Linked DNA regions of Lepisosteus oculatus. The protein of the gene in region 4 interacts with the protein of the main gene of each other region in a pairwise test. Links are inferred from orthologs where the notes say so. Each region holds a gene or a part of one and is shown on either strand. Other genes may lie near its edges. The genes, in order: krt18a.1, neflb, zbtb48 and nme7.

The links.
Region 1: the proteins of nme7 (region 4) and krt18a.1 interact in binary tests that used the Homo sapiens proteins (3 or more experiments, as listed by UniProt). The two-hybrid records come from large-scale screens. The link is inferred for Lepisosteus oculatus from reciprocal best matches to the Homo sapiens genes NME7 and KRT18.
Region 2: the proteins of nme7 (region 4) and neflb interact in binary tests that used the Homo sapiens proteins (3 or more experiments, as listed by UniProt). The two-hybrid records come from large-scale screens. The link is inferred for Lepisosteus oculatus from reciprocal best matches to the Homo sapiens genes NME7 and NEFL.
Region 3: the proteins of nme7 (region 4) and zbtb48 interact in binary tests that used the Homo sapiens proteins (3 or more experiments, as listed by UniProt). The two-hybrid records come from large-scale screens. The link is inferred for Lepisosteus oculatus from reciprocal best matches to the Homo sapiens genes NME7 and ZBTB48.

The regions. Positions count from the first base shown.
Region 1 is NC_090696.1:17,462,104-17,468,958, reverse strand, and holds the start of krt18a.1 (keratin, type I cytoskeletal 18), read right to left. Parts: upstream 3,019-6,855; 5' UTR 2,918-3,018; coding exon 2,504-2,917; intron 1-2,503. UniProt on the Homo sapiens protein: Involved in the uptake of thrombin-antithrombin complexes by hepatic cells. When phosphorylated, plays a role in filament reorganization. Involved in the delivery of mutated CFTR to the plasma membrane.
Region 2 is NC_090697.1:65,109,478-65,117,329, reverse strand, and holds the start of neflb (neurofilament light polypeptide), read left to right. Parts: upstream 1-4,835; 5' UTR 4,836-4,936; coding exon 4,937-5,998; intron 5,999-7,852. UniProt on the Homo sapiens protein: Neurofilaments usually contain three intermediate filament proteins: NEFL, NEFM, and NEFH which are involved in the maintenance of neuronal caliber.
Region 3 is NC_090720.1:9,105,613-9,112,696, forward strand, and holds the start of zbtb48 (telomere zinc finger-associated protein), read left to right. Parts: upstream 1-4,072; 5' UTR 4,073-4,220; intron 4,221-5,125; 5' UTR 5,126-5,140; coding exon 5,141-5,887; intron 5,888-6,831; coding exon 6,832-7,084. UniProt on the Homo sapiens protein: Plays a critical role in transcriptional regulation and chromatin remodeling. Acts as a regulator of telomere length. Directly binds the telomeric double-stranded 5'-TTAGGG-3' repeat.
Region 4 is NC_090710.1:23,185,845-23,193,527, reverse strand, and holds the start of nme7 (nucleoside diphosphate kinase homolog 7), read right to left. Parts: upstream 3,006-7,683; 5' UTR 2,708-3,005; coding exon 2,690-2,707; intron 2,519-2,689; exon of another isoform or gene 2,495-2,518; intron 1-2,494. Other genes in the region: homocysteine S-methyltransferase, read left to right, coding at 4,115-4,195, 4,438-4,486, 5,741-5,826, 6,085-6,152, 6,746-6,918, 7,058-7,158. UniProt on the Homo sapiens protein: Possesses an intrinsic kinase activity. Displays 3'-5' exonuclease activity with a preference for single-stranded DNA. Does not seem to have nucleoside diphosphate kinase activity.

The DNA.
Region 1 (6,855 bases), on a different chromosome or scaffold from region 4:
TTCCCTCTCAGTGGACGTCAGTCCCTGGCGCTTGCTCAAAGACTCAATATACAGTAGCTGAGAAGGTTTGAACGCTTGTCTTCTTCAGCATCACTGCACATATAGCATGGCCCTGCAGTGAAGTCATGCAGTGTGATGGAATATTCTGGGTTGTAAACAGCTGAACTGAATAGTTTGCTTAGTCTTATGATTTTTAAAAATCAAACCCCTTTTAGTGAATGCAAATCCCTATGGACAATCCAGGACTCCGTGCTCCCGGACTTCAGTAAATCTTATATGAATCACTGAATGCTAGAGCAGAAGAGTGACACTATGTATACTTCATGGGCGAAGCCAACAAGATCTGAGCAGTAGTAGGTTAGTGTTGGCGATATGTGTGTTAACTTGTGCTGTCAGTACATTTGTGTGGTAGTTTGTATGTAACAGAGACAGATCTGAGACAAAAGGAGTGAGTCTCAGTGAGCCAAGTCATCCTCCATTTAAGACTTTAACAGGGCTCCCAGTCCTGGAGAAGGATTGTTTGTTTGGATTGTGGTTCACAGGTCACTGATATTGGTCTAAGGTGTGCCTAGATTGCAGTGAGCCAGGTCTCTTTTAGTCACTGAGCTTCCTGGTCCCAGCTCATGGAATGCATTGCTCAAATTACATGAGGGATTCTGCGCCTGTGTATTGTTTTTATGAAATCCAGCCTTCCCAGTTATTGTCGGAGCTGGGATGGACACTACTACAAGGCTCTGTACATCTACAGGAGAGAGAGGCCACAGGTGTGAGGTACAGAGTCAGGTGGAAGATGTGTCACACTTTAACATGTACCCAACAGGGCCAGATTCAAGCCAGTCAGATGAGACCAATACTACAGCTTGAGCTCCCAGATGCTCCCTGTGGGCTGCAGGCAGGTAAAGTGAGCTCCTTTCTGCTGACCGCTGGCCCCTTCTTTCACAGTTGGCCTCTGATGGCAAAACTGCAAAGTTAAACATTAATGAGCTTTCTTCACAGCCCAGCCAAAAGGCCAGTGTTATACTGTACGGTCTCTACATAAACCAACTGCAAAGGTAAAAAAAGACAAGAGTGAATATGCAAAGAGAGAGAGAGCAAAATGCCAGCCTCCTAAATTTTCTTTTACATATCCTTAGGTTATATTTTTAACTAGCTATATTTTAGATGGTATCGTACACAGTGCCTTACAAAGGCTAACACCAAAAAGGAATCTTAAGTGGTCCGCAAGCCTGCTCCAGTTAGTTATTAACCCACCAGAATGCTCTAAAAAAGATACTGGAAGCTAAGTTCACTTTTCCCAGTCCTACAGACTTGCACATGAACTGAAAGTGTGAGCTCAAGTCTGGCAGGATTACGCAAGCTTTAATAATAAAGATATTTAATCTCCATAAATGTCATTCAAAATGACTGTTAGGTATGTGGACGTGCTATTATCACATATTTTATCTTGTGATCTGTCTGTTGGGAGACTGTACATTTGCAAGTGAACCAACCAACTGTGGAGCCCTAATTGCAAAGTAAACCCCTGAACCTTCCTTAGGAAAAGTAATTGTGAGTATAAATTCAAATGATTGATGATGTTTGTCTTTGAAAATATATTGCGGTGCGAATACACTGTAATATAAGTTTCCCCCTTCTACAGCACTGGACCCACCCAAGTGTGAAAACACAATAATTTGTGGGGAGGGGGGTATTGACTGTTAATCATCACCTCTACTTAAAACCATTGTTTACTTTCAAACACGCAGACCTGCACTTCCTGCACTTTGAAACTTTATCCGCTTTTAAAGGCTTTATTGTTCTCTCACTGTATCCAGATTCACCGAGTTTACAGCAGAGATAAAACAGTGCAAAAACACTCTTTTTTTTTGTTCCAATGAATTAACCACCAACTAGGCTCTGTCTACCTCATGACTGTCTCTCAGGATAACAGTTCTTTTTAAAATTGACAAATTTTAAAAATTTGCAGAACAATCTGCAGAGTCTAGACATGCTGCAGCTCAAGGATCTATAAAGCACATGAAGACAAAAGCAGAATTGTTTGTGGCCTGACTCTTTTCGTTTCAAGAGGACAGAGGGGACACTGGCCCTGAAATAATGAGACAGTGAATCTTTCAGATTTGGACCTTCTCTGTAGATTCAAGACTTCCTATTCTTAAGGGAGGCTGAAGACTTACCGGTTCTCTTCCTGTCCAGATTTTTTATGTAGCTAAACCTTGGTCATGTGATTTTCTGCTTTGATCTTCTTGAGATACAATGCACTAATACACCGATACATTCTCTTTTATTTTCACGTGCAAAAGCACAACAGGGTAGATTTCAAGATAAATGATCAGGTGGTGGTTGGTTAGATTGCAGCCCCTGGATCAGTGTGGAGTGGAGGAGTCAGAGCAGGTTAAGGGAGAGCTCACCTTGCTTGTGTGAACCCTGAGAGCCCACCTCCGTTCCAACCCCGCACAGCATCCTCACCCCACTCCCCGCCCCCCACACCGCGGCGCCCACCCACCTTCTTGCGCAGGTCATCCAGGATGTTGTCGTAGTTGCTGTAGTCGCGGGCGGCAGGCCCCCTCTTCTCCAGGGCCTCCCGGATCTGCAGCTCCAGCTTGCTGTTGGCCTGCTCCAGGTTCCTGACCGTCTCCAGGTAGGAGGCCAGGCGGTCGTTCAGATGCTGCATGGTCTCCTTCTCGTTGGTGATCACCCCGGAGCCGCTCATCGACACCGAGGAGGAGAAGGAGCCCCCGCTCTGGAACCCCCCGCCGAATCCCGAGGAGCCCCCCAGGGAGATGCGAGACCCCCGGCCCCCGGCGCCCCCGTAGACGCTGGCGGAGCTGCTGAGGGGCACCGAGCGCTTGACCATCATCTGCGTGGTGCGGATGGAGCCGGCCGGCCGCATGGAGTAGGAGCTGGAGCTGAAACTCATGGCGAGAGAAGGGGGAGTCTTGGCTGGCAGAGAGAAAGAAACACAGGAGAGTGACCTGGAGTAGCTGAGGCACAGGGACACAGAGCAGGGGCTTTCTAAGCTGCCTGCCTTATACTCAGCGCTCAAATCTCCACCTCCAAGGCAGGCTTAGCACCACCCCTTCCCTCCCTCCTGCTCTCCTATCCAGCCCTGAAGGGAGAAGGGAGATTGTGAAATTAACCTCACAAAAAAGTGGCCAGTAAGTAAGGGAGTATGAGAGGGAGTGAAGGAGAGCCAGGACCAGAAACAAGAGCCTCTCCGCCCTGCTGGACAAAAGAGCCTCCAAATCCGCTTAGTGTCCTGTTACGCGAAGGCCGTGCCGAGAAAAAGCCCAGTTTCAGACTCCCACTCTTTCACGTCCCATTCTCAACCTTTGCACATAAGAAATGTGCCCTTTTGGCTGTGAGTTGCCGCAGGACTGTAGATCTCCCTTTGTGATTACCGCCCTGATTACAGCCTGTTCTGAAGAACAGTTATATATTAGTTTCCTAATAAACAATGATAGCGCTGCTTCTTAATCAGTGCTTATTGAACACTCATTTAACCACACTAGTGCTTGGTTAAGTAGATAGTTTAAATCACCGATCTTGGGGTGGGGCAGAGCGGTGGCTCTGTGGCTAAGGATCTGCACCTGTGGCTGGAAGGTTGCTGGCTCAAATCCCACAGCTGGCAGAGGATTCCTGCTCTGTTGGGCTCCTGATCAAGGCCCCTTAACCCCAACTGCTCTAGGGGCACTGTACAATGGCAGACCCTGTCTGTGTGTCTCATGGAGAGCAAGCTGGGGTATGTGAAAAGATAATTTCTAATGCAAGAAATTGTAAGGAGTTAATAAAGTGATAGGGAAAAAAAACACATTCCAAACTGCATTTCATGTTTATTTTCTAGAAAATGATACATTAAATGATTTTGGTTGTGAAGCGGTGAGGCCACCATCGGCAAGTAAATGGTGCAAACCTGCAGTTATCAAAACCATCACTGAAACCTTCCTATTCTGAAAATGGGGCTACGCACTTTTCCACAGTTTCTTTCAGGAGCACAGACATGCGCGGGCCTGTGTCCCTGCTTGAAACAACAAATCCAGAGGGAAGGTAAGCATAAGGACCAACGCCGGAGGCCAAAGCCCTATCTCATTTTTCAACACGCAAGAGCATCTCGAAAGATTTGATCAGGCACAGGAGTGCCTAACGATAATACATCATGAAAGGAAAGCGAAAGTTTGGACAAAAGCCTCCTCATGTTTTTCCATGGAATTGGTTTGAGCAGGGAGCTGACGTGCTCCCAGGCAGTAGTGCACTGTTCCGAAGGGATGGGGTGGGAGTTCTGGGCAGGGATGCATCCGTACAAAGCGCCACAGCCAGATGTTGCAACATGGCTGAACAGCTGCTTTCAAGCTTCAAACTCCCAGAGTCAGGGGCACTCTTTTTATCTGCCCCTGTCTGTCCCCCCCTCGATCGTCTCTGCGACTCAACCCTGCGCCTCACGATCAGAGCAGAGGTGGAAGAAGCCCATGGAGTGTAGAAAGGAATTTTGCGATTGTGCTGGCGATGAGATCAGAGGGATGGGCTGGAAGAAAACAGGAGCAGAACTCCCCCCTTGCTGAACTGGAATTACTCAGACAGCCAGTTTGAGGAGGGGGTGGGAGGACAGGGTCTCGGCTTGGAGTGCATTCCTGTTTCAAGACAGCCCCCCATTACACCACAATAAAACACAGGCTTGTCTAAAGGCTTAGTCTTAGGTTACTGAATAAGTAAAGAATAATTTGTCTTAGTTTACTTTGTCTTAGTTGACTATCCAGTGCTTCTGAGACTTAAGCAATTTACAATTTCATCTTCACCTGTTACTATTCTGTAAATACTAACAAACTACTAACAGCCGCGATCCATTAAAGTGAACAAATTAAAGATGTCCAAAAAGTGTTGCTGTTCATTTTTGATGCTTTTGTATCAGAAGGATGGTGGTGGTGTTTAAGACATTTGACTAAAAATGTTAAGCAAATTATTTCACTGAAAAATTAGCAGAATTACTTAGGCATTCCAGAATTTGACTAAAATCAATTAAGGTGCAAATTGCACCTGCACCTGAACATTTTTTTATTTTCACTTATTTCAGATCACTATGAATTATTTTGCTTTATCACACACATTGTAAGGTCCTGGCACCCACCCTTGAAGTGCACCCTGAAACACCCATCCAGAGGGATCGCTGTAAGACAAACAGCTGGACACCCCTCCCAGGACCATGGTGTGTGTTTTTGGGAATGGCATGTCAGTTAATTTGTTCATTCAACAGTGCTCTCGTGTTGCCACTATCTTCTAAGGTTATTGAACAGAAAGGGACATTTCAAGCATGGTTGAAAAACCTTTCATCACAGAATCATCTTTGGTATTCCTACAGCAGGGAGGGAAGCTGGTAACTTGTCCAGCCAGTCACACAGAGCTCTCATTCACAGCTGCAGGCTGAAACAATTCATTCTGCACATTGTAAGACCTCAGACCTCGAGGAATGTTATTGTTACCCCGTGTACACGTGCACATACAGTAGGGTCAACAGATAATCACTGTTTACAGAAGCTGTCCTCCTGCTCCTCAGGCTTGAACAACGCCTGATATCTGACTTCTACAGTATTTCCTTTCAGTGTTACGATGGTAAATGCAGGGATTAATGAACTGCACAACAGCATCAACAATTTGAATTATTTTTATTAATACCACCAAACAAAAATTAAGGAGGGGAAGCCATTTTAAAAGATTACCCTTGTGTTATTATAACTTGGGTAATATCATGTTACAGTTTTTACTATAGCAATTCAGCAATTATTACACTGTGATACCAGTGTAAAAGGCGGAGTTTTAAGAGTTTTTCCCATGATTAAACCCTTTCAGGACAGTACTGTTTTTTGGTAAAGGAAAACGGGCTAATTCACTTTGAGAGACAAGGGGGAAAAAAGATAAAAGAAAGAGAAGCTCAGTTAACCCCCTGAGACACTAACAAGCAAATTGAACTGCCGCGGAAAGGTTTCAGACACAATCCAGCAGTTATGTTTATGGCACCACCAGTCTCCTTTGATTCCTTCCTGTCCAGACCACTGGAAAGCCTGCAACCACTGCGTGCACCACTCCACTGAATGGAGTCCGGACCCCATTTCAAACTGGGAAAACGCAATTCCTTTCAGACCCAGTTGGAAAAAAAAATCCCAGACTCTTCTTGTGGTCGGAGTCATAATTCTCGTTATGAGCATGTCTGCACTAGGGCTGGGATCCTCAGTGAGCAGAACAAAAGAAAACTGCTCAAGCATCCCGGCACGCTAGCCCGCACAGCTCTGATTACACAACTCTGGAGGCTGCTAGCCCTCCTCATAACATTGCAATCATACTTCCCAGGTGTTCAGTATAAACAGACTGAAGATGAGCTGTGCCAGGGTGGGTGGGGGAAGTTGACAAAGACAACAAGGCTGATATGTCAGTGGTAAATGAAAAAGGAGAAACTGAGCTGGAACTCACGTTGAAAACACCTGCATGCGGCAGACAAATGTCCCCTCCAGAAATGTCATCTTTTATTGCTCATTTTTCACATGAATGTATGACTTCATCTATTCGACACTCAGCTCTTTTGACTCTGTGCCAGCTTTCGACTTTCATTTTTGTACTTTCTTTCCTCCCATTAAAACCACAGCTCACACGGTGAAACCCACATCCATCTGGTAAATACTGGGTATGTGATGATGAAGAGATGAGATCAGCATGAGGAGTGTATGGACTCACTGCACTGCATGCACCATTAAATGAACACACCTCATTGTTCAACTGTACGGACGGTTAGGGGGATTAATGACCTGTTTTCATTTAACAGGGGCTATCAAGTGAACAAGAGCAACAGACCACCTGTGAAACAGCTGGTGG
Region 2 (7,852 bases), on a different chromosome or scaffold from region 4:
TGATGGGGCTAAGGAAATGTCTGACTGCGTCTCTGGTCGTCAAGCACTTGTACATGCTCATAATTAGATTGCACTTGTCTGTCATAATGTAATACTGCATTCCCACCACTAGTGGGCAGTATATACATGACTGCGAGTTATTCAGCGCTTTGCTTTTCTCTACATGGGTGGTATCAATAAAGCTTCAGCACTGAGCTAAAAGCACTGGATGTCTGACCAGCTATGGCACATTCAAGTTAAAATGGTTCCATTCTAATGAATTACTTTGAGCCGCAACATCTTTAGCTTGAGAATGACCATCCACCCTTCATTAACCGCTTAGTCCTGAAGTCTGGTTCAGGTTTTGTTCCTGGTGAGCCAAAGTGCTTAATTAGGAGGAGTTAGCTTTAGCTTTCTAACGCCCTGCTCATTGATCATGACAGGCTGCACAACCAGGCTTCCAAATCTGCAAGCTGAGTCCGAGACAGGGTGAAGCCCCCATCTAGAGGTCTGTGGGTGGACAGCAGGACCCAGCCTCAATGGGTTGGCAATCCATCCCAAGATGTGCAAACACATTTGCAATTAACCTAGGCAGCACGTCCTTAAATTGTGGGAGGAAACCTCAATGTTACTATAGAGTGACCATGCAAATACCACACACAATGCACCCCACGCCAGAATGGAACACAGGAGTTACAGAGCAGGAGCTAAGGCAAAAATGCTACCTGCCATGCCTCCATGCACAGGGGAACCTAACTGTGTCCAGTCAAATGTAGCCACGTCCAAGTCACGTGCTCCAAGGACTGACCTGCTGTAACGTACAGTATGTGATCCTTTTGACTGACGTGCCACCTTAGTTGAACTGATCTCTGCTTCGAAAGTGAGAAAGCTTCCAACACGTTTCATCAGTATTTCATTAGAACTAATTTAATTTGTAATTAAATTAACGGGGCGCTTGTTGAAAGACCTGGACTGGAACGGAGCAGAACAGAGGCAGTTGATTTACTAGCCTTTTCAATCCATTGTTTTCCATTCTGGGCATGTTGGCCCAGCCAGCTCTTAAGACAGCACAGCTGTTCAATAAGAAATGTGATTTCAGTAATCTAATAAATCAGATGATCGACCTAAAGACCCGCCCTGCTACAAATTCAATTAGAAATTCCGGTAATTGGGTGCCAGGGAGTAATGTAAAGCTATGTTTCATATTGAATCTTCGGTTTCAAGGGTCTCCAGCCCTAGTCCTGAACTCCAAAACTCTGCTTTTCCTTATACTCCAGGTCTCAATTTCTTGATTGAACCAATTATTGGCTTAATTAGTTCAATTAAGTTCAGTCTTAATTAATTCCTTCTGACTGAAGGTGCCTATAGAAGGAGAAAGGGGGCAGATACAAAATACCGCACATCAGTGAGTAACTACTGTATCTGCAAGACCACCCATCTCTTTAGAGACTGTGTCATTAAATTAAATCTGTGCCATTGTGATTTACAGCCCCTCTGTGATCCTGCTGTGATCTGTCTCTCTCTGCCCACTGGCCCCACAGCGTAATTCTGCTGTCTCCTCCCAGCTCATTAGCACAAGATCGATGTCGTAGCTCACAAGCACACTGCAGTAAACCAGTCCCCACACTCTCCACTGTGCAGCAATCTGCAAGGCAGAAGATGAGAGGGACTGGGGTTGGCTGGATTCCAGATTTTGATGGCCAGAGGACAATCACTCAAGAAAAAAAAAGCAGATTTAAGGGAACAGTACCTACCACTCATGGGATCTACACTTTCTGTGATTTTCATTACACTATCTTGCTACAGGAGCACTGCATGATTCTATCTCAACAAAGACCAACTTTTCCATGCTGACAGGCTGGGTAACAGTTCCAGCAAACTTAGCTTTGGAAATAAATTACACCAGAGGAAATGACTAGGGGAAGCCTGCTGTATTGCTAGTTCCTATACCTAGTTTAAAATTTTAAGATACTGTATACTCGCCAACAACTGGATTACAACAAGCAATGATGACAATTCACAGAAAGTTTTTTTCACTCAGTGATGATTAATGGGTTCTAAAAGTCCAGTCCAGAACATATTGAGTTATGTTATCACTTTCATGGCTAAGAATGATTTACAAATTTTAAATTCACAGTAACATTTAAAGTTTAAATTTAAGTTTAGTGTCTATAAGTAAACTGGGGCCACTCGCTCACACACATTCACTCAGATCTTAAATCAATTATTTTCCCTAGGCTTTACTAAATAGGAGAGAGAGGTACACACAGAGCAGCTGTCAAAGCGCTGAGCTTGAAGATGAGAGATGGAATTAAATCAGTTGAAAGAAAGATACCGAGAGGGAACTGTGTGGGGGCAGTGGAAGATCACTGAAACAGGCTTCCTACAAGAGACCAGCAAGAGCTAATCGACAGATAACACCACAGCGGCTTCTCTGCCTTGCTAATTGGTCCTTGATTTCTAAAGATGCTAACTGAGCCTAACTAATGTAATCCTGCAGTCATGAGATCGCTGATCAAACCCTGACTGAGCAGAATGACTCTCAGAGATATTGTCCTTGCTGAAAAGCAACATTTTCTCATTGATAGTGTAGCATCACATAAAACCGTATTAATTAAAATGTTTCTGCTTCTGTTTTCTTTAACTCTATAGGCCCTATTTAAATGTCCCCTGTTTTTACTCATTGTGACCCATCATGCTTTGCAAACAGTTATCAAATTTGATTCTACAGCCTAATGTTTCACATTTTTCACACATGCCAGTAATATCCCTCTCAGAAAATAACAAGGCCATAATTTTTTTTCTTTTAACGCACACTTGTAAAATACAATGTTAGAGATTAAGATTGTCTGATAGTCAGAAAGGAGATCTTAAACTGTGGGCAAATGGCCCTCTCCAGAATAAATGAATCACATGGTCATTTGTGGACTACAGGGAAAAACAGGCTCCTAGTGTGTTCATCTGGTAGAATAACACAATGCTCCTTCCCTCTGCATCTGAGGTGGCAAGAGGAACAACAGTGTTTCTGTACTGTACAAAAATCCTATTGGAAAGCCTGTTAGACCCACCAAACAACCAGGGCTTATCATAGAGGAATTATACATATACTATATATTAAAATATAATGACGGTTTCCAATGTACAGCAGTTTTATCCTTTATAGATTTTACCAGATGTACAGTACTCCAGTGAAGTGCACATATGTTTGCATGTATTTTTGATCTAAGATAATTCTAAATGCCTATGCAAATGTCCTGCTAATAAGGCAAGAAGCCAAAGTGATCCAGCACTTGCTACTGGTTCAAACAGAAGAGCTTTGAGTTTGTAAAACCTGAAATGGTTCAAGCGCCTGTGCAAAGAGAGATATTTTCCTCCCTGCCAAGGAGTTTAAAAACAGAATATTTCTGGGTAGGAATGAGGAAATAAGAGAAATTCAAAACTGCACTTTCTGCAATATATTGATCTTGAAATATTGTGTTCGTGCAGGCGCCAGCTAAAACATTTAACTAAGAACATTGCAATCACCGGACTGGTTGAAAAGATCCGGACTGACAGAGACAACTGGAAGATAAGCACAAAGTTCCTTCAAATCCCAAAGACCCACGATGGAAAGGTAACGTTTACCATCTCCTGGTGCTGGAAATGACACTTTAAAATTGCACACAAGCTATAAATATGACATAAGCCAGGAGCTATGCATTTATCCCCAGAGGTAGTCTGCAAACTATTAGGAGCAGTTTGCTAATCATTAGTGGACCTCAGTGATAAATGCCTTCTTTTAATAACCTCTGTTGATAGCTACACAATCGTCGGCACTGTCAATTACAAATGCTGATCTGAAGGGTGGCTGAGATGATCTAAGACTCCAGGGAGCAGAGGACTGTGCCTGAAAACGAATTGCACAGCTACAGCGGCTACTCAGTTACACTCCACCCCCCAATTTGACTGCGACACGTTCCCACCCAGACTGTAGACTCCCAGGTTTGAGCATCTAGCCTCCTGCGTCCGCCCTGAGACTGCTCGGTCTACACATCACCGCTACCTGCTGCTGTACTCTGCAGAGTGCAGCACAAGCCATCTGTTTAAGTACTTGGCTGTAGCCAAGACACTGCATCGTCTGCCGTAGTTACTATTACAATAGTGAGACACTGAAGTGAATGGGCCCCAGATTCTCAATTTCACATTTCACACACTGACCTGAGTCTCCTGCTCCTGCAGTCTATACCTAAATACTGTTATTGTTATTACAGGACAATGATACCTGCCCTTACTGTTCTACAATCTATAAATGGAGTGTTATCTAGAACAGGCTTGGGCTGTAAATGCTGTTATATAAGTACAATATCCCGAGCTATGATAAAGACAGGTTCATGTTTTAGAAATTTCCATTCAGTGTCTTAATGTCTTTGTTCCTGCGGCTTAAAAACTGGCACGCGCCTCCAGAGCCATTTCACTTTGCTTAGTGACAACTTCGTAGCGCTTGCAATCCCAGAGTGACAGCTCGGGACATGGCCCTAATTTACATGACTGCACAGTCGTGACATGATTTCAAGAAAGCAATACAGCTGAAATGCATGAATGTGGCTTCGCACGAGCCTCACACTCATCCTCTCATGCTTGTGAGACTCCCAAAGAGCCAAAGTAAAAGTCGGATCACAGGAGAAGACTTGAATTCAAATTCCCTTGCAGGAAGGAAGGAAAAAAAGCCCCTTCCTTTTCTCCTTTGCTCTCCCCCCTCCTTCTAATCCTCCCTCCTCTCCAGGCAGAAACAGAGTCCTGCCTCTCTCTCTCTCTCTCCATCTGCAAGCTAAGCTTTGGCTGAGAGCTCAGCTATTGATCGCCGCTGTCAGTGGAAAAGTGCTTGCGTCAGAGCCCTGCCAGGGGTATAAAGGCAGCACCGCCGCGGTAACAGCACTGAGTGCACACGGCAACCGAACTCCCCTGCCCTCCCGCCGCCATGACTTCCGTTGGCTACGACCCCTACTTCACCTCCTACAAGCGCCGATATGTGGAGAGCAGCCCCAGGGTGGTGCACATCTCCGGGGTGCGCAGCGCAGGATACGGGGGCGCCCGCTCGGTCTACTCCAGCCACTCGGCTCCGCTGTCCACCTCGGTGGGCACAGCCCGCCACCGCCCCTATGGCCTCTCCGCCTCCTCCGCCTCCTCTCTCCTCATGGCGGCGGACTTCGACCTGAGCCAGGCCACGCAGGTGGGGAGCGAGTTCAAGACCGTCCGCACCCAGGAGAAAGCCCAGCTGCAGGAGCTGAACGACCGCTTCGCCAGCTTCATCGAGCGCGTGCACGAGCTGGAGCAGCAGAACAAGGTGCTGGAGGCTGAGCTGCTGGTGCTCCGGCAGAAGCACGTGGAGCCCTCCCGGCTCCAGGCGCTGTACGAGCACGAGATCCGGGAGCTGCGGGCCGCCGTGGAAGAGGCGCGGGGCGAGAAGCAGGCGGCGCAGAACGAGCGCGACGGCCTGGAGGATGCCCTGCGGGGCCTGCAGAGCCGCTACGAGGAGGAAGTGCTGAGCCGCGAGGAAGCGGAGGGACGGCTGATGGAGACCCGCAAGGTGGCAGACGAGGCTGCCCTCGGCCGAGCCGAGCTGGAGAAGCGGGCCGAGACGCTGCTGGACGAGATCGCCTTCCTGAAGCGGGTGCACGAGGAGGAGATCGCCGAGCTGCAGGCGCAGGTGCAGTACGCCCAGATCTCCGTGGAGATGGAGGTGGCCAAGCCCGACCTGTCTGCTGCCCTCCGCGACATCCGCTCCCAGTACGAGAAGCTGGCCGCACGCAACATGCAGGCCGCCGAGGACTGGTTCAAGAGCAAGTTCACCGTGCTGACCGAGACGGCGGCCCGCAACACCGACGCTGTGCGCAACGCCAAGGACGAGGTGGGCGAATACCGGCGCCAGCTCAAGGCTCGCAGCCTGGAGATCGAGGCGTGCCGGGGCATGAACGAGGCCCTGGAGAAACAGCTGCAGGATCTGGAGGAGAAGCAGAATGCTGACATCGCCGCTCTTCAGGTCAGTGTTTGTAGTGCAAGTGGAGGGTATAACTTCCATATACAACTTTTACTGTCATTTCTTCCATGGTTAAGTTGTATATACTTTATATATCCACATAATCTCTCCAATTTCTAAAACAGATCAGTAATCTGATCTTTGGGATCAGGCTAGAATTCTATCTAGATTTTTTTATCTTAGCCTTTGCCTGCCTTTAATGCAAGTTTTTGTAACCAATACGATAGGCACAAAAACAGAGGAAGATTGCATTGTATTTGACCGTTTCTCTGTCTGGTCAGCCAGGGGAATGAAACTTCATGGCATCTACTCAATGGAGAGTTAGTAACTGCAGTATCCGTCTCTCTACTGTCGTGATCAATAAGAGTTAAAACCGACTATATCCCAAACTGAAATGGCAGATGTCAGAGAAACAGAACAGCTGCAGAGAAAGGGTTAATTGGGATTGCTCCACACTTTATGTTTCTTGTTCTTTGTTACTGAGAAGAAAAGTGGACCAGGGCCAGAGACACATTAGCGAGACCAGGAAAAGAAAAATCTCTCAGCCGTTCCAGAGAGGTACTAGAGATGTCTACAGACTTTTGCTGAGACACTCAGTTCTGTATTTAGTTTCACATTAAATCCATCTGACGGTTTATGGTTCATCTGCGATAGATGGACTAGAAAATCTCCAAACATCTAGAGAGTTCTTTGAGAAGTTTGTACTGCACATTGCACTTCTGCAGAAGCAGTAGCAGGCTGTCTTCATACTGCCCAGAGTCAATTGTACAGCCCTCTGATAAAAAGATCACTCACAGCACACGGTGCTATTGTTGATGACAGCTGAAAAAAGAGAGAGAGCAGAGACTTTTTTGCTTACCGGAGATGTGCGGTGCTGTGAGAGGAGCTTCCCTTATAATCTTAATAATATTTTTTTTATTCAGCACACGATTGCAGTAGCTGAACAGGAGCGGAGCTTCTTCTTTTCGTGAGACAGGTTTGAGTGCTTTCAATTGTGCCTAGCACATTGTCGAGTGAGCTTTGCATGTCTTCCACCAGGAGAATGCTGCAGGCAGGGACAGCTTCCTCTGCGGTGTTGCGGACGCCCGGGGCTCACAGCACACTAAAATGAATTGGTTACTGGAGAGCAAGCCTGCAGAGTGACAGGTCTTCTGCAGTCGAAATACAAAGCCATTGACAAAACACAGGAAAAGGAAAAAGTGGAGGAGTTGAGAGCAAAGCCTGTCCATCCTTAATGCTGTATGTACAGGACACTAAAGAACTAATGATAGTTACTGAGCAGATGCTCTAATTCCAATTAACTTGCACAGGATAGGATGTGATAAAAACATCAACTACCTGCTGAGTGACACTCTCTAGGCAATCTCTTTTACATACCACCCCAGTGGTGGACTCTGGCAGGCTTGGAGCTTAAGCCATGACCTTCCTGGTTCTGATACAGCCCTATACCTCCACCACTGGCCCCTACTGCCAATTCTGCAAATCCTGTACAGGGAGAAAGCGACACAGGAAAAAATCAAAATGCACACTCTTGGCACTTTTCATGAGCGCTGCTGGCATTTCCCAGAACACCATCCATCAGTGTCTCTTTCCCTAGGGGGATCTGCTCTGCTAATCCTTGAGGTGGCAGGATCCCAAAGCTCCTCATGGCTTGCCTGCAGTATGGCGATCTGTATTCTTTCCTGTTATTATTATGGTCCATTTGAATGCTGCCAACAAATGTGATTTAAAGCCGAGAAAATGCCAGCACAGCGATTGAACAGTCAGTCTGAAAATGGATGCAGTCCCCAATTTGAGATCTGTCCTGGCAGTTGTAGCATTTTATTCGTTTTCAACGGGCATTGCATACTAACTCTT
Region 3 (7,084 bases), on a different chromosome or scaffold from region 4:
ACACATGCGAGAGAGGCAGGAGAGGAGAGGGAATGAAAACCCGTGACTTTAAGCAAGAAAGCCGCATTATCGGATAAGCCTGCAGAGGACAGATCCGGTACCTGCAATGTGCAGCAATAACTCTACTGCATCCACCGTGTGACATGAAGAGAAAAAAGAGAAGACATAGGGGATAGAACATAAACTGTAAGGCCTGTGAAAGGCATTTTGTTTATTTTACATACTACGTGTTAACAGCATTATTACGCTGCTAGTTTTAATGCGTCTCATTTGCTGCCGCTGGCAAATCGGTGTTTATTGGTAAAGTAGAATATTGGCCTGAACCTCTAGAATCTCCAGTATCCCTCAGTTATGATGGGGGGGGGTCTCCCCACAACACAGACTGTAGACACAGGGTAAAAGAGGGTGAGGCAGTGGACCTGGGATTCCTGAATTTTACAGGCCAGATCCCCGCTGCTTGTAAAATCACACAGAGAAGTGCCAACTCCCAGGAACGTGAAAAGCACGTCTGCGTGGGATGGGCCCGTGCTGCTGGAGCTGACCTGCACGGCAATGCGAGAGATGGGAGCTCCTACAGTCCGTTCTTCACTGCCCCCCCACCCGGAAACGCACAGCTGCAGGGCGGCACGGCGACTGGCACGTCATCCGAAACAGCTGTACCGAACATGTTGTACCGGGAAGGCAGAAGTGTTGTTCCCCTCACCGAAGTGTCCGTCCATCCGTTCTCTAACCTCTCTATCCAATACAGGATCACTGGGGGAGCTGGAGCCTACCCCAGCAAGCAAAGGGGTGCAAGTCTATGAATGAATCTATGAATTGGCTTCATCACTCTGCTCTCCTCCCCACTGAGAGCTGGTATGTGGGGAGCGTTCTGGCGCACTATGGCTGCCGTCGCATCATCCAGGTAGATGCTGCACACTGGTGGTGGTGGAGGGGATCCCCATTACCTGTAAAGCGCTTTGAGTGTCCAGAAAAGCGCTATATAAGTGTAAGTGTAAGTAAGTAAGTCGGGGTACATCCTGGAGGGGGTGCCAATCTATCACAGGGCACACCCAGCCATGCTCATGCTCACACCAGGGCCAGCTTTCCCTGAAGCCAATAAACCTGCCTAGCGTGTCTGTGGACTGTGGGAGGACACCGGAGCACCTGGAGGAAACCCACTCAAACACGGGGAGAACATACAAACTCCACGCAGACAGCACCCCGGGGACTGAACCCAGGGCGCACACAAACACACACACCTTTTGCGTGTGCAATTTTCCCAGAAGTCAGTTAACCCGCCTGGACAGTTCAAGGGTTCCTGTTTGATTCCAGCTCCTGTCCCTGTTTGTGTGGTGTCTGCATGTTGTCCCAGGCTGTGGCTGGGGAACTGGAGAGGACGTTTTAATTGCTTACTCTAATTACGGGGTTGTACAGAACCAAAATTAAGACTGTATAGAAACAAAATCAATGGTCCAAATGCTTCCTTTCATTTGTCTCCTAATCTGAAGTCAATGAAATCTGGTCTTTTTTGTTTTTAAAGATTGTATGCCCCAAGGAATGTGATAGCTAACTGTTAAATACGTGTTTAAATGCTACGGTCTGACTGTCACTAATACTTCAAACGTCTTTTGTTTTTGCAAGAAGCTAAAAAAAAACAATAATTATCAAAAACAAACTAAAAAAGCTGCATAATTCGTTGAGGTTAATATAAAGGTCCTTGCGCATGTTATGCATTTGGATTTAATTTCTGGATTCTTGATGCCACTGAAGACCACTGGAGCAGATAAATTCCCTTGAAGGAAAATAAACTGGAAGAACGTGATAACTGTATGATCGATTTCAAAATCTCGCATTATTCATGCAGAGGCTATGGTAAGTCTTTTGTCGGAAAGGCTCAGAGGATTTAGACGAGGAATAAACAGGACGCTACCGAACCTGTGTCTACACTTAAACACTGCTGTTTGTAAAAGCCGCTGTACAACATGTGATTCAATATGTACGCGTTGGCTCACCTATGCTTATGCCCACCACGACTACATAGCGATTTCTAAATAGAACCATTCACACTGCACAGAATATCACAAATAATCTCGCTTAAATAATCGCTGGTAACATAATATTGTTATATGTCTGATTTTGTCTTTATTTCCAGCGACGTTCATCAGCATACAAAACCCCTCTGGAATATGAATTACCGTTCACTCCCATCTGTATTGCCTCTTAGCCCATCTCCACCCACACAAATAATACGTATGGTAAAACGTACCTGTGTAAACCCCACAAAAAGAGTTATTCGCGCTTATCCACCGCTTAACAGCTTTTAGTCGTCGTATTTTTGTAGCCTACAGCCGCAAAATAAAAGCCGCACGTCTCCATGTGTAACAACAGCCGCCACAGCAACAAGCTTCCTTGGCCAACCAAGTCATTCCAGGAGTTACACTTTCACAATTCATTGCATCGGGAATAGGCATATTTGAGACTTCAATCGTCTAAGAACAGTTTTCATATTCACATACATGAAAATTAAAATAGTCCTGGAAAATAAATTTAATTTAATTTAAATGGACAGCGAAATTGTTGTATTAAGCATATAAATACATTTTCCTCCTTGAGAAAACATAAGCTATAAAATGATGGACAGCTACAAACCTTCCCGAAGTTTTTCCGGCCTTCGTTTCTGCGTTGGTGCCCTCTGTTGGTTAGGATATAGTACAGCGCTTCCGTTTTCGCAATATGTAAACGACAGTGTTGAGAGAACACAGTACTTTATTGATCTGATCATTTGAATTAATGAGATAATTTTAAAATTGTGGCTTTCTTATTCGCGCACAGGACAACCTGTGTCAATCAATTGCCAGTGTAACACGTGGGTAAGATAAAATAAACTCCTTCAGTCCTAATAGTTTTTCGCCCCGTTGGAAAATTACACTAAAGTATAGTGAACTCCAAATACATACACACCATTGTTTGAACTATTACAGAAATATATTGCGGTTTGTTGGGTGAAGCCTGCTCCTGTTTTTCATACAGCTCATATTTACCACACTGTAGCTTAATGTGGAGGTCCTCAGACCTACTGTTGGACCAGTAGGTGGCGCCCTTCCTTCTGGAGCATAACATCCCATTCGGTCATTCTATGGTGTGAACCCCCATCTCCCTGGCTGAATTACACTGTGGGGTGGCACAATACAGCCTTCCCACAGCTCCCCCTTAGTTCTAGTGAGGAAGCGGCTCCTCACTTTTCCACCTGAGTCACTGCTGCACTTCCTCACACCAGACTGCTTTCATTAAACCAGTTTGCAAACTACAAGCCGAGGTCACGCCCAGAGGAGCAAAGCACACCGTTTCCCTTCTGGTCCAGTGGCCATCTGACGATTTTTACACACCACTAAAGTTGAAGTAATGACACGTTTTTCTTAAAGTTGAGGGAAAGCTAGTGTGTTAGTGGGGCCAGCAGGGGGCGCTGCCCCTGCGGTCTATGTGGGTCCTAATGCCCCAGTATAGTGACGGGGACACTACGCTGTAAAAAGACGCCGTCCTTCAGATGGGGTGTAAAACTGAGGTCCTGACTCTCTAAAAATCCCAGGGCGTTTCTTGAAAAGATTAGGGGTGTAACCCCGACATCCTGTCCAAATTTCCCCCTGGCCTCTACCAATCATGGCCTCCTAATAATCCCCATCTCTGAACTGGCTTCATCACTCTGTTCTCCTCCCCAATGTTAGCAGGTGTGTGGGGAGCGCACTTGTGCACTATGGCTGCCATCGCATCATCCAGCTGGGGCTACACACTGGTGGTGGTGGAGGGGATCCCCATTACCTGTTAAGCACTTTGAGTGTCCAGAAAAGCGCTATATAAGTGTAAGCAATTATTATTATGTCTGTGCTCCCTCTAGATAGTCTCTGAGAATTCCCAAGGCTGGCCAGTTAAAAAAAAACAACCCTTACCCATATAAACCTTCACATATATATCAGATTCCGTTTTGAAAACTGGTTTTCTGTATAAAATAGACATGAAGAGAAACTGCGCCCCACACTGCAATTGACAATCTTCCTGGTGAAGTTTTAGCCACGCTAGTACGTCATATCCGGTCTCTTCTCCAACATGGCCTCCTGTAAGGTAGAAAAAAAGTATTTCGAGCCCATTTGTTTTTTCCCCTAAAAGTACCATTCGAAATAGCATGAGCCTGATCCCATTCTCTCAGCCTGAAACAAAGTACTTCCCCTCCATCCTCAAATAAGGTAAGAAGCACTTTCGTCGGCGGTTTCTGTCGTACCAATGGCACGTTAGGGACCGTCTTTAAAAACATGCCTTCCGTCGTAAACGTTGAGCTAAGGGTGAGTTGGTACTCATTCTGCTAAGAAGGAAACCGAAAAAGTGAGTCATGCTGTCATGGTTTTGCGTATTACAGCATTGGGACTTTCAGAGGAGATAAATCACCAACGTCTTGCTCCGCTCGTCAGAAATATTAAAATGCTGCTGACGCCTACCCCGGTGCAGTAGGGGTACAATGTGTTACTTTAATGTACTTTGTCTAACGTTTTGGAGAACAGTACTTTGATCCGCCCTGTCCCTTACTTGTCAAATGCAGTACCCCCTGTAGCTGTACAGTAAAAAGAAACGCAAACTTTCCCAGCCCCATGCGTCTCATAATGGACAGGGGCGTTTCGATGTTTTTAAACAAATCGAATTAAACTAATTAAAAGGGTTTGTTGACGATGTTGAAATCTCTTCACCACAGGTTCATGAACGGTATACAGTGATTCAAAAAGACCTAGAACACGTACTGGGTCAGAAACCCAGGCACCAGAGGTGACCTAAGCGAGTGCGTTTTACAGTTTTTATTGTCACACAATATTTCCCCCTCGAAAACCTGTTCCAGTACTGCGACCTTAACATGGCCTAACGATAACAAATTCCTATCGTGTTTCTGGAGCCTTAGACACGAGAGAAGTCTCCTCATCCATGCCCAGCTGAATACATTTAACAAGAAGGCGTTGTTCATGCACCCATGTGTAAGGCTAGGCTGTCATTCCATCATTTACGCCAATCACATGTATACCGTTAGTTACGCAGGTAAGATTAGGCAATTCCACGGGCTTTGAAGCTGTTGACAGGCCGTCCGTGTCTGCTCTGTGCTTAAAAGGCTCTGCGGCGGAAGATGGCAGCGCTGGAACACAGACATGCCCAGCTGGTGTTGTCCTCCCTGAACCAGCAGAGGGCGCTGGGTAGCTTCTGCGACGCCACGCTGAGCGCGGTGGATGGAGAGGTGTTCCGGGCCCACCGCAGCGTGCTGGCCTGCTTCAGCCAGCTCTTCCGTGACTCCTACTCTGCCACCCCCTTGGTGGAGGTCTCCCTGCCAGAGGAGTGCCCCTCCGAGGGCCTGGGGCTGCTCCTGGACTTCATCTACACCGGGGAGATGAAGCTCAACGCTGGCACCTTGGACAAAGTGCGGCAAGCTGCTCTCAGCCTGTCAGTGCCCCACGCCCTAGACCTTTGCCAGGAGTTCAGCCAGGGTGACCAGCGCCCGGCCAGCCCGCTAGAGAAGTCGCTGGCCAGGGACGGCGACAGCCAGGAGTCTCCCAGGGGGGACCCCGAGGCACAAGGGGGCCCGGGCCAGGCCGAGACGCGGGGGATGCAGCCCAGGCCCCGGCCGGCGCCCAGACCCAAATGCAAGGCCGCCAACAGCGCCCCGCGGCCGCCGGCCCCCGCAACCACCACGACCCGCTCGGGCCGCAGGGTCAAGGGCCCCAGCCGCCTGCTGAGGGACAGCCCCCCCCCTCCTCCTGCCCCTCCCCTCCCCCCGCCGGCCCCCCGCCGAGCGGAGCCGCTGGCGGCGCAGGGAGAGGGGCGGCGCGGGCCGGACACAGGCGAGCGGAGCAGCAGCCCCTCCGCGAAGGGCACAGAGGTACCAGGGTCGAAACCAGGGGGGTTTGCCGCGTAGCCACCAGGGGGTGTACAGGAGGGGGGCATCAGGCCTGGGTGGTGTGCTCGCTCTGTGGCTGGAAGGTTGCCGGTTCGTATCAGAGGAATCCTACTCCGTTGGGCCCCTGAGCGAGGCCCTCAACCCCAGCTGCTCCAGGGGCGCCGTATAAATGGCCGACCCTGCGCTCTGACCCCCAGCTTCTCTCCCTGTCTGTGTGTCTCAGGGAGAGCAAGCTGGGGTCTGCGAAAAGACACATTCCTAATGCAATAAAGTGTATAGGGCCAATAAAGTGATCTCTAATCAGGCCGGGCCCGAGCCCAGGGGCAGGGAGTGCTTGAATTGAAAAGGGTGGGGTGTTGAAGTTCGATATTGTCTGTAAAAAAATTAAGTCCTACAACTGAAGTATGTTTTTGTTCTGTTAATCCAAGAGGTTCCGTGCTGAAAAGAAAGGAGACGCGACGTTTCTGAATTAGGCTCCACAGCCGAAAAGTTGTGTCTCCTTTCTGCTCTTTCCGGCGTGGAATGAACCGGACGCAGCTCCCTGCCGGAAGTCCAATAATTCCCGCGCTCGCTCGAACACGAACCTGAGCTTTTAGTTAATAATAATTAATAATAATTGCTTACACTTCTATAGCTCTTTTCTGGACACTCCACTCAAAGCGCTTTAGAGGTAATGGGGATCCCCTCCACCACCACCAGTGTGCAGCCCCACCTGGATGATGCGACGGCAGCCATAGTGCACCAGAACGCTCCCCACACACCAGCTCTCAGTGGGGAGGAGAGCAGAGTAATGTAGCCAATTCATAGATTGTGGCTACGTTGTCTTTTCTTCCCCCGGTTCATGCAGATGAACAGCCGAGAAGCGGCTCTTTCCCCAGCCGGTCTCGTGGCGGGGTGCTTGACCGAGTTTCCTCTCGCGGCTGCAGGAGGGGAAGCCGCCGGAGCCCGCCCGCGAGGAAGACGAGGAAGAGGAGGAGGAGGAGGAGGGCGAGGGCGGGGGCCAGGAGGACACCGACGAAGACTACCTCCCTACCACCGCCACCCCCACTGCCGGCGCAGCGGGGCCCCGGGCCAAGCGCAGGGGCCGCGGGCGAGGGGGGGCGGTCAACAAGGAGAACGGCGAGGGGGCGGGGGCCGACGCCAAGAGGGGCTCCGTCCAGTGCCCCACCTGCCACAAGA
Region 4 (7,683 bases):
AGAGGCCCAGGTGGATGGGATTCCTGGCCCCAAGTGAAGCAACTTCGTCTGGACAGTAAGAGGGACCATCACTGTCAGGCAGGGCGTCTGAGAAAAGCTGGCTTGTTACGCATTCACTGTCCCCTCCACCACTGACAGAGGGCAGAACTTTGAGCTCTGGATCCAGCACAGAAATGTCAAGAGGCGTAGCTCTTGGGAAGGCATTGGGAAGTCATGAAGCTCGGGAATCACTGCGGGCTGGACAGTGGAAAGATTCTTTGGAAAAGCTGCCTTCAGTGGGTGGGCAGATGAGTGCTTTCTGGGAGGTAGAAGTTTCCAAAAGTGGTTGAAGCTGTGGCTGACCCTGAACTTTTACCTTGCTGGAAGAATCTGTGCTTTTCATTCTATCAGCAGGTTGGTGATCTGAGGTGTGCCCTGCTATAAAGGTGCGGTGCTTTTAAGGAGGACTGGTATTGAAGCACAGAGAAGTCCAGGGTCCTTGGCAAAGTGGGAGTTAAGACTCTTCATCCAAGGGAAATCCAGGTCCAGGATGAGGGGCTGACTGCAGGTGCAGGAGCAGGAGAGGCAGCACAAAATTTAGCCACTGTCTGCTGAATTAGTATGTGTAATAGTGAACTTGTTCAATCTTTCAAACTAGTCTGCTTATCTCCTAGGGCTGCCAGGAAGGGTTATGGAGTGTTTCGCCCTCGTGCTTGGCTCTGTCATACTGTAATAATCTACCACTGTGGTGGAACCAGCAGCGGATCTGTGAGGAATATTGTGAACCCGCATGCCGAGCGAGAGGCAGATGAGACAGAAAAGGTGTGCAGTGCTGCGCTCCCACAGAGAAGCTGCACAGGCAGTGCACACCCATGGGAAACAGCAGCTGTGGCTGACTAGGAAATCAGGAAGTAAACACAGTCCTAATTTATGGTCGAGCAGGCAGGGGGCAGATCCTGAAAACACTGGTGAAAAATGGTTCGCAGTAAGGAAGATTTTTCCTCAAATGCTCTAATAACTCTAGGAATGACTCCAGAAAAAGCTCACTTGGCTTTTAACAGCATCATTCTGTCAAAAGCAAGTGCTTTAACACAAGCAGTAGACATAGAAGCTATTCTCCTAACAGCCTCGTGCTGTAGGCACCACCGATGTCACAACTCAGCAGATTTGATTTGTAGGGTCTCAAAAAGTGGCTGTCTCTAAGTGCATGAAATTTTAATGATTTTCAATTATTTTGTGTGAATGCCCTACCTAGTATTGTTTCTATTTAAAAATCCGTTCAAATTATTTAAAATTAAACAAAACAAAAAAAAAATCAGACATCAACTAAAAAGTCCAAATCAGCAGCTTGACAGGCAGACCTGCGGTGTTCAAGCACTATTATATCATTTTGCTCCATGAACTAAAAGGTGCCTGAAATGGAGACCAGCTTGACATCAGTGTTTCTTATTGCTGTACCTTCATATAAATTGCACATGGAACATCAGTGGAGACTGAAAAGAATCCCTTTTGTTATAATCACTACCATCTCTGCAGTTACAGAAGAACTTTCAGAATGTGGACTGAAATTGCCCGTGCCTTTTCAATCAACAATTTCCAATCTGTATGGATACATTTTATCCCACAGTCATACCTCATGCCAAGATAAAAAAAAAAAAACAAAAAAACGTGTTTGACAAGTAGAAGAATACTTGGGCTTTTTACAGGTAATCAAATTGTGGAGAATCTGACACGAGAAAGCCAACCTCAATAAACCAGAATGCCACTCTAATGACACACACAAATGTGAGATAGCAGGTTAAGTAACAGCACTTACAGAAGGATGATAAAATCACACATGAGGTTTGGATGTTCGGAAGATGTGGCCGAACCATGTTAAATATGTTGGTTAAACGCAATAGGATTCAGTTCTCCAAAATGTTACAAGCAACTCACTTGTAACATGTATGAGAGGAATGTCATGCAATTAACTATTAACTGCTGTGGACTAAAACTTAACGCAGCTTTAACCATGATGTCGCTTTCCGAATCTATGTTCAAGCCCATGACTCTTGGGAAGCCCTTGGCTTCCATGCACGTCTTCAAACCATGAATGATGTAGTTCACAGAATTAATTTGCATACTGTCATTTGTTTCTGGCTGACTACTTCCCCCCGAACTGTACAAAAGCAGAGCACAGCATGACCCCCCCCAAAATAACATTTTAGATTTACTTGTTTCCAGGACGTTCATTGACTATGATAACCGGGTAAATGCTTTGGTATACCTGCTGTTCTTTGTTCTGCAGGTATATAAAAAGGATCATAGTCAACATCTGTTTACTAGTCATTATTCAGAGCTTTGCCCTTTAGTGAGCAGGAAAAACAAAACATTGAAATTTTGCTTTTCAAAAATTAGTAAAAGGAGCAAATGTGACACCTAGCGGTACAGCTGAACTAAGGATGAGCGTGAGCTAAGGAAGCAGTAAAAACACGGATACTTCAAGGCAGGTTATCACCTTCGAGGACTACGGCCAAACGTAAAAGCATCTGCGGGGGATGTAAGCACTTATTTAGTTTTTCTCGTCAATTTTCAGGGAAAGCCACGCTTTTCAAGAGCACGGTGTAACGTCACTCTCGTAACACAATGAGACTCGACGTCCTCGCATTTAGAGCAATCGCAATGAATCTGATGTGAGTGTTTGATTTTCATCATAAGGCAAATATCTGACCTCTGAAAAGCCTTGCATCCTGCAGGAATGCGTCGTCCTCCGCTGGATCTTAACGGCAGGACCTGACTTTATTCGGTTATGATCATACAGAATACGAGACGAAGTTATTTACATACGTGTACGTGGATACCTCAGGGATTCGTCCCCAATTAATACACTGCCGCTGCAGATCTGTAGATCTGTTAACAACTGTTGTGAAACAATGCTGAATGTCCCTTCAGAACAAAATCTGTTTACGACGACAGTAGGAAGCTCTTTACCACTTCATTATGAATGCTGTGTATCCAAGTGCTGTAGAAGTAAACATTACAGTCGCTAGTGCCTTGTTTATGAGGCACGACTACTGCGTCTACTGACATGCAACTATTTTTATAACTATTGTACCCTCGTTATATATCATGTAACCACCAACAGTGTGCACAAAGAGGCACTATAGCTATAAAGAGACGCAACGTCACAAACTGTTCTTTAAGAGTAAGAATAGGCTAAATTATAAACCTTGTGATCGCTACACACTGCAAAACTACAAAACAGAGTGATGCAGGAGCTGGAGCTACAAATAAATGCTTCGGGACAAAACTGAGAAGATATCATAGTCAACATCAGAAACATTACCAAATTACGAGCCATTTTTAAGTGTCTCAATAAACATACTTTGATAAGCTATAGACGTCTTGGCTAACAAAAAAAGAGCTTCCCGAATTTAGCTATGATATAGGTATCCCAGTTTATTCCCTTATGTGCTTTTTGAAAGTCGTTTTCTTAAGTGATTTAAAAATACAGGAAAGTGAAGAAAACAAGAGATCAAAACCTCCTTTTCCAGTATAACTTACAATTACAATTCGACCTTAAACGTTAACAAACATAAATATATATAATGGGTTAAATGAAATATAAAATCCATGCAACAGATAAAAAAACAAAACAAAATATTGCTCACCATCCTGAAGGGTCTGTGCTCGCTCGTTTAGTCAGTCAACCCGCGGCATCTGTCCGGGTTCATCACCATAGCAACAATGTAACGAAGCGTACGGAAACACGCGCGCGCTGGCGAAAAAAAATAGCAACAAAAGCTAAAAGTAAAGTATATATATATAGCTTTTATTTTCATAAATGAAAACATTTGATTGTTTGATTTATAGTATCTAACTAACAAATTGCGAGGTGACGCTTGTCAAGGGAGGAAGTATTTCTATGACCTTAAAGGTTATTATGAACAAGGCGGTGTGTGTTGTTGTGACGCGTTTGTCGTCATCTTTGTTTTCTTTTCTTAATACGTAACTGTGAGTCTTCAATGTATGTAATCTTCATGTATTATATAATATATTTTATTAATTAAAGTATTTGACACTTTAAATGAAACCTTATATCACTGTCTTAAAGGAGAGCTGTCAGAATTAAACCCTTACATTTAATAAAACGATCATGCAAAGATCTTGTTCCGTCTGTGTATGTTTAGCCTGCCCTTTTGAACTCTTGGCCGGCTTTAATAAAATCAGCCGAAAGGTATATAGGTTCCATTCTTTGCAGTATTCTCGCTTAAAAACCGACCAGATGGCAGCCTTAGTATATAATGTTTCTGTTCATGTAAATACAGTCCTTAGTATGTCATTGTTATGTTAATTTAAATACAGTACAATAGATGTAGAAGTGTGTTTTTGGACAGCTCTGTTTTGTTTTCTCTTTTTATATTGTTCGAGTATAGTAGAGTTGCTGTGGAAATAAAAAGGCATGTGTTTTCCTTGCAGAGACAGTTACAATACGACCGAGGACAGAGTCAGAGGAACTGGGGGAAAGGTACGTCGTTATGGGAGCCGCAAGCATTAGTTCACATGCTTTAAGTTCAAGTTTTCTTAAAGCTTAAGATGTAAAATCAAAATGTGACCTGAAGTTTCTCAATACGCAATACACTTGTACAAATGTACTGTTTTCTCAAATCACAATACAGTTAGGCTTTCATGCGATTCTGCCTATTTGCAGGTTAAAGAGCAGTTCCACAGATTCTTAAAGAACTGCAACGCTATTTTGATATTTCGGTTTTTTGAAAGAACGAGCGCCAATAATTCAAATGTACACAGTAAGTTGTAAAACCTTCAATTTACATCACAAAAGGTACGACCTTTCCAGGTAAGCACAGCGCCATATTCTGCGATTCAAGACTAAGCAACAAAAAACATACGGTGAGGGAAAGCGGCTCCACTACATTGTGAACAAGTAGGCTTGTGAATCCAATAGAAATATTGCTCGTGACTTGGAAACGGTTTTGCGGATAAATGGGACTTCTTAACTCTGCGTGCAGATCACAGTTGTAATATTGCTGTGGTGAAATCTCTGCTCCACAACCTGTACTTATTTTCTCGTACATCGCATTACGTGAGTCAATACAGTGACTAGCGAGCATGAAGGGCTGCTACATGACACAATTTGTGGGAACTCTCTCGACCATGGTGAGACCTGGGGTTTGTGACAACCTGGTGACTTAGTCATTTCACAAGGTTCGTTATTTTGTGCTTAATTCCAAATTTGTAACATTTTTTCTATACTTTTTTTTATATATTATTTTGTAATAACCAGTCTGCAGAATACACATAACAGGCCAGATTAATGCATTTCACACATAATATTGTGTGAATATTAAAGTGGTTGTTAGATTTATACACATCATGACATTTTTACAAGGTAAAATATCTCTGAAAGCATTACTTGTTTATTTTACCAGATACAACTGCATCTCTCCTCTGTAAAAAGTTTTTTTAACCCTGTTCTACGTGTCTAGGTGGTGCTAAAACACTGAACTATTCCAGATAATATGACTAATTGTACATTTGAGTCATAATCTGTTTCACCAGAACTCTTGATTGATACATGGTCAGAATCGGGTGCTACAAGGCTTTCTGTCATTTCATGTCATTAATTTTAGGTTATATTTAGAAACCCTGAAGTTGAATACCTGCATGTTGTTATGTGACATTTTATAGCGAAATATTTATATTCAGTAACCATCTTTGAGACATAGATCTGCTAAAGCTGTTTTAAAAATGTTTTTTTCAGAAAGAAAAATGAACATGGATGGCAAAATAGTCATTCTGGATGGTGGATTGGCAACAGAGCTGGAAGCAGCTGGTGTAAAGATACAGGTACATTAATGATTTATACAGTAAACCTGGACTAGGTAACTTTGGTTTATTGCTTCTGTATATTTTACATGTTTTACACCTCAAGCAATTTGTTCTTATGTACTGTATCAATTTATTATACTCATACAGTTAGAAATATATCCATTTATTTTCATGATGTTTGAGAGCCCACAGTCATTTGTAATATATGTAAAATAAGATGAAAGGCAGTAAGGCACAGTAATGCTAGACAAATACTATAATGTTTCACTTTTCCAGGGGGATCCACTGTGGAGTGCTAGGATTCTGCACACTAACCCCCAGGCTGTGAAAGATGCCCATTACAGGTAAAACCTAGCCCAGAGTTTTCACTTCATACACACACTGTATTTTATTATTTTAAGTTTTACATAAAATGTGCAAATACATCAAAAATAGTGGTAAAGGTGTGATGTTTATTGTTTCTGTATATTCATAAGAACAAGTTTTTTTCTGGATATAGTACTCTTTCATTTAAAGCATACCATGTGATATACATTGAATGAACATATACAGTGGGTAGATCAAGGGTACTACAGGCAAACCCTGGTCTTGGAGAGCCACTATCCAGCAGCTCTTAAAGGTCACCCTTAAATCATTAATTTGCAAAAACATGGGACACGAGAGATGTGAACAGTTTGATCAATTAAGCAATGGAATTTGTTCAATTAAGACACGAGTGGCCAACTGTTATACTGGAGAGCTACAGGTGTTTTCTTTTCTGATGATCTTGAAACTATCTGATTCAGTGATAAAATACTATCAAGTGTCAAGAAACTGATGATTTAAGGATGACCCATAAAACATACTTGTTTATTTCCCTCCAGGATGTGGGTTGGCTACCACTGACATACTGTAGGTAGTGCTGACAAAAAGCAGTAATACTTTTATTGTTCTGTAGATTTCTTTGTAGTGGTTCTGATGTTGTCACAACAGCTACATATCAGGCAAGCGTGGAAGGATTTATCAAGCACTTGGGTCTGACTTCAGAAGAAGCAATTCAGCTACTGATGTCAGGTGTTCAGATAGCTAGAGAGACAGTGCAGGAGTTCAAGGTGAACTGTCTTCAGCCAGGTAAATGCAGCTTCTTTTTGTAAGAAATGACATCTATATTTTCCATAGTTCAACATATATCCGATGTCTGGAATATAATCCTTGTGATGTATTGATTAAGCTACTGGTTTAAGAAAACACGGTTTCTGATCCTCTGAAGAAAAGGTGCTACTAGTTGCTGGCTCTGTTGGACCCTATGGAGCATTTCTGTCAGATGGCTCTGAGTACACGGGATCTTACGAGGAGGGAATGAGTATAGAGGTAATACAAGCTAATTCTTGTTTTTAATGTATTTGTTTGTCTACTGAAACACTCTGTTGAAAGAGTAATGTGCATTTTATTTTAATGAAATAAGTAATAATAAGTAAATAAGTATAAGAGTAATGTGCACCAGATTTAATCACACTGCAAGTTAGCCATGGCTCAGAGAAAGAGGAAGAGAAAGAGGTTTCTCTGGGAAGGTTCTTGGCAGGCGTGTTGCAGTGTGAACTCTGTAGGACATTTGTGGTCCATCCACTGTCATTATCCTAGGTGAAAATGTGATTTATTTGAATCTTTTTCTTAACCAAAATCACACTTTCCTGGTGTGTTCCATAACTGTAATATATCTGCACAAGATTTTTTCTGTTGAAAATGAACCATGATTTTCAGATGGCAGCCCCTGTACCTTTAAGTGAGCAATCACAAAAGACCCTTTATATTTGTGACTATTATACTGAGGGATTGTTTTGTTACAACAACAATAACAGCTGATAAAATAGTTCTTGTGGTAGATCAAGAAATGTG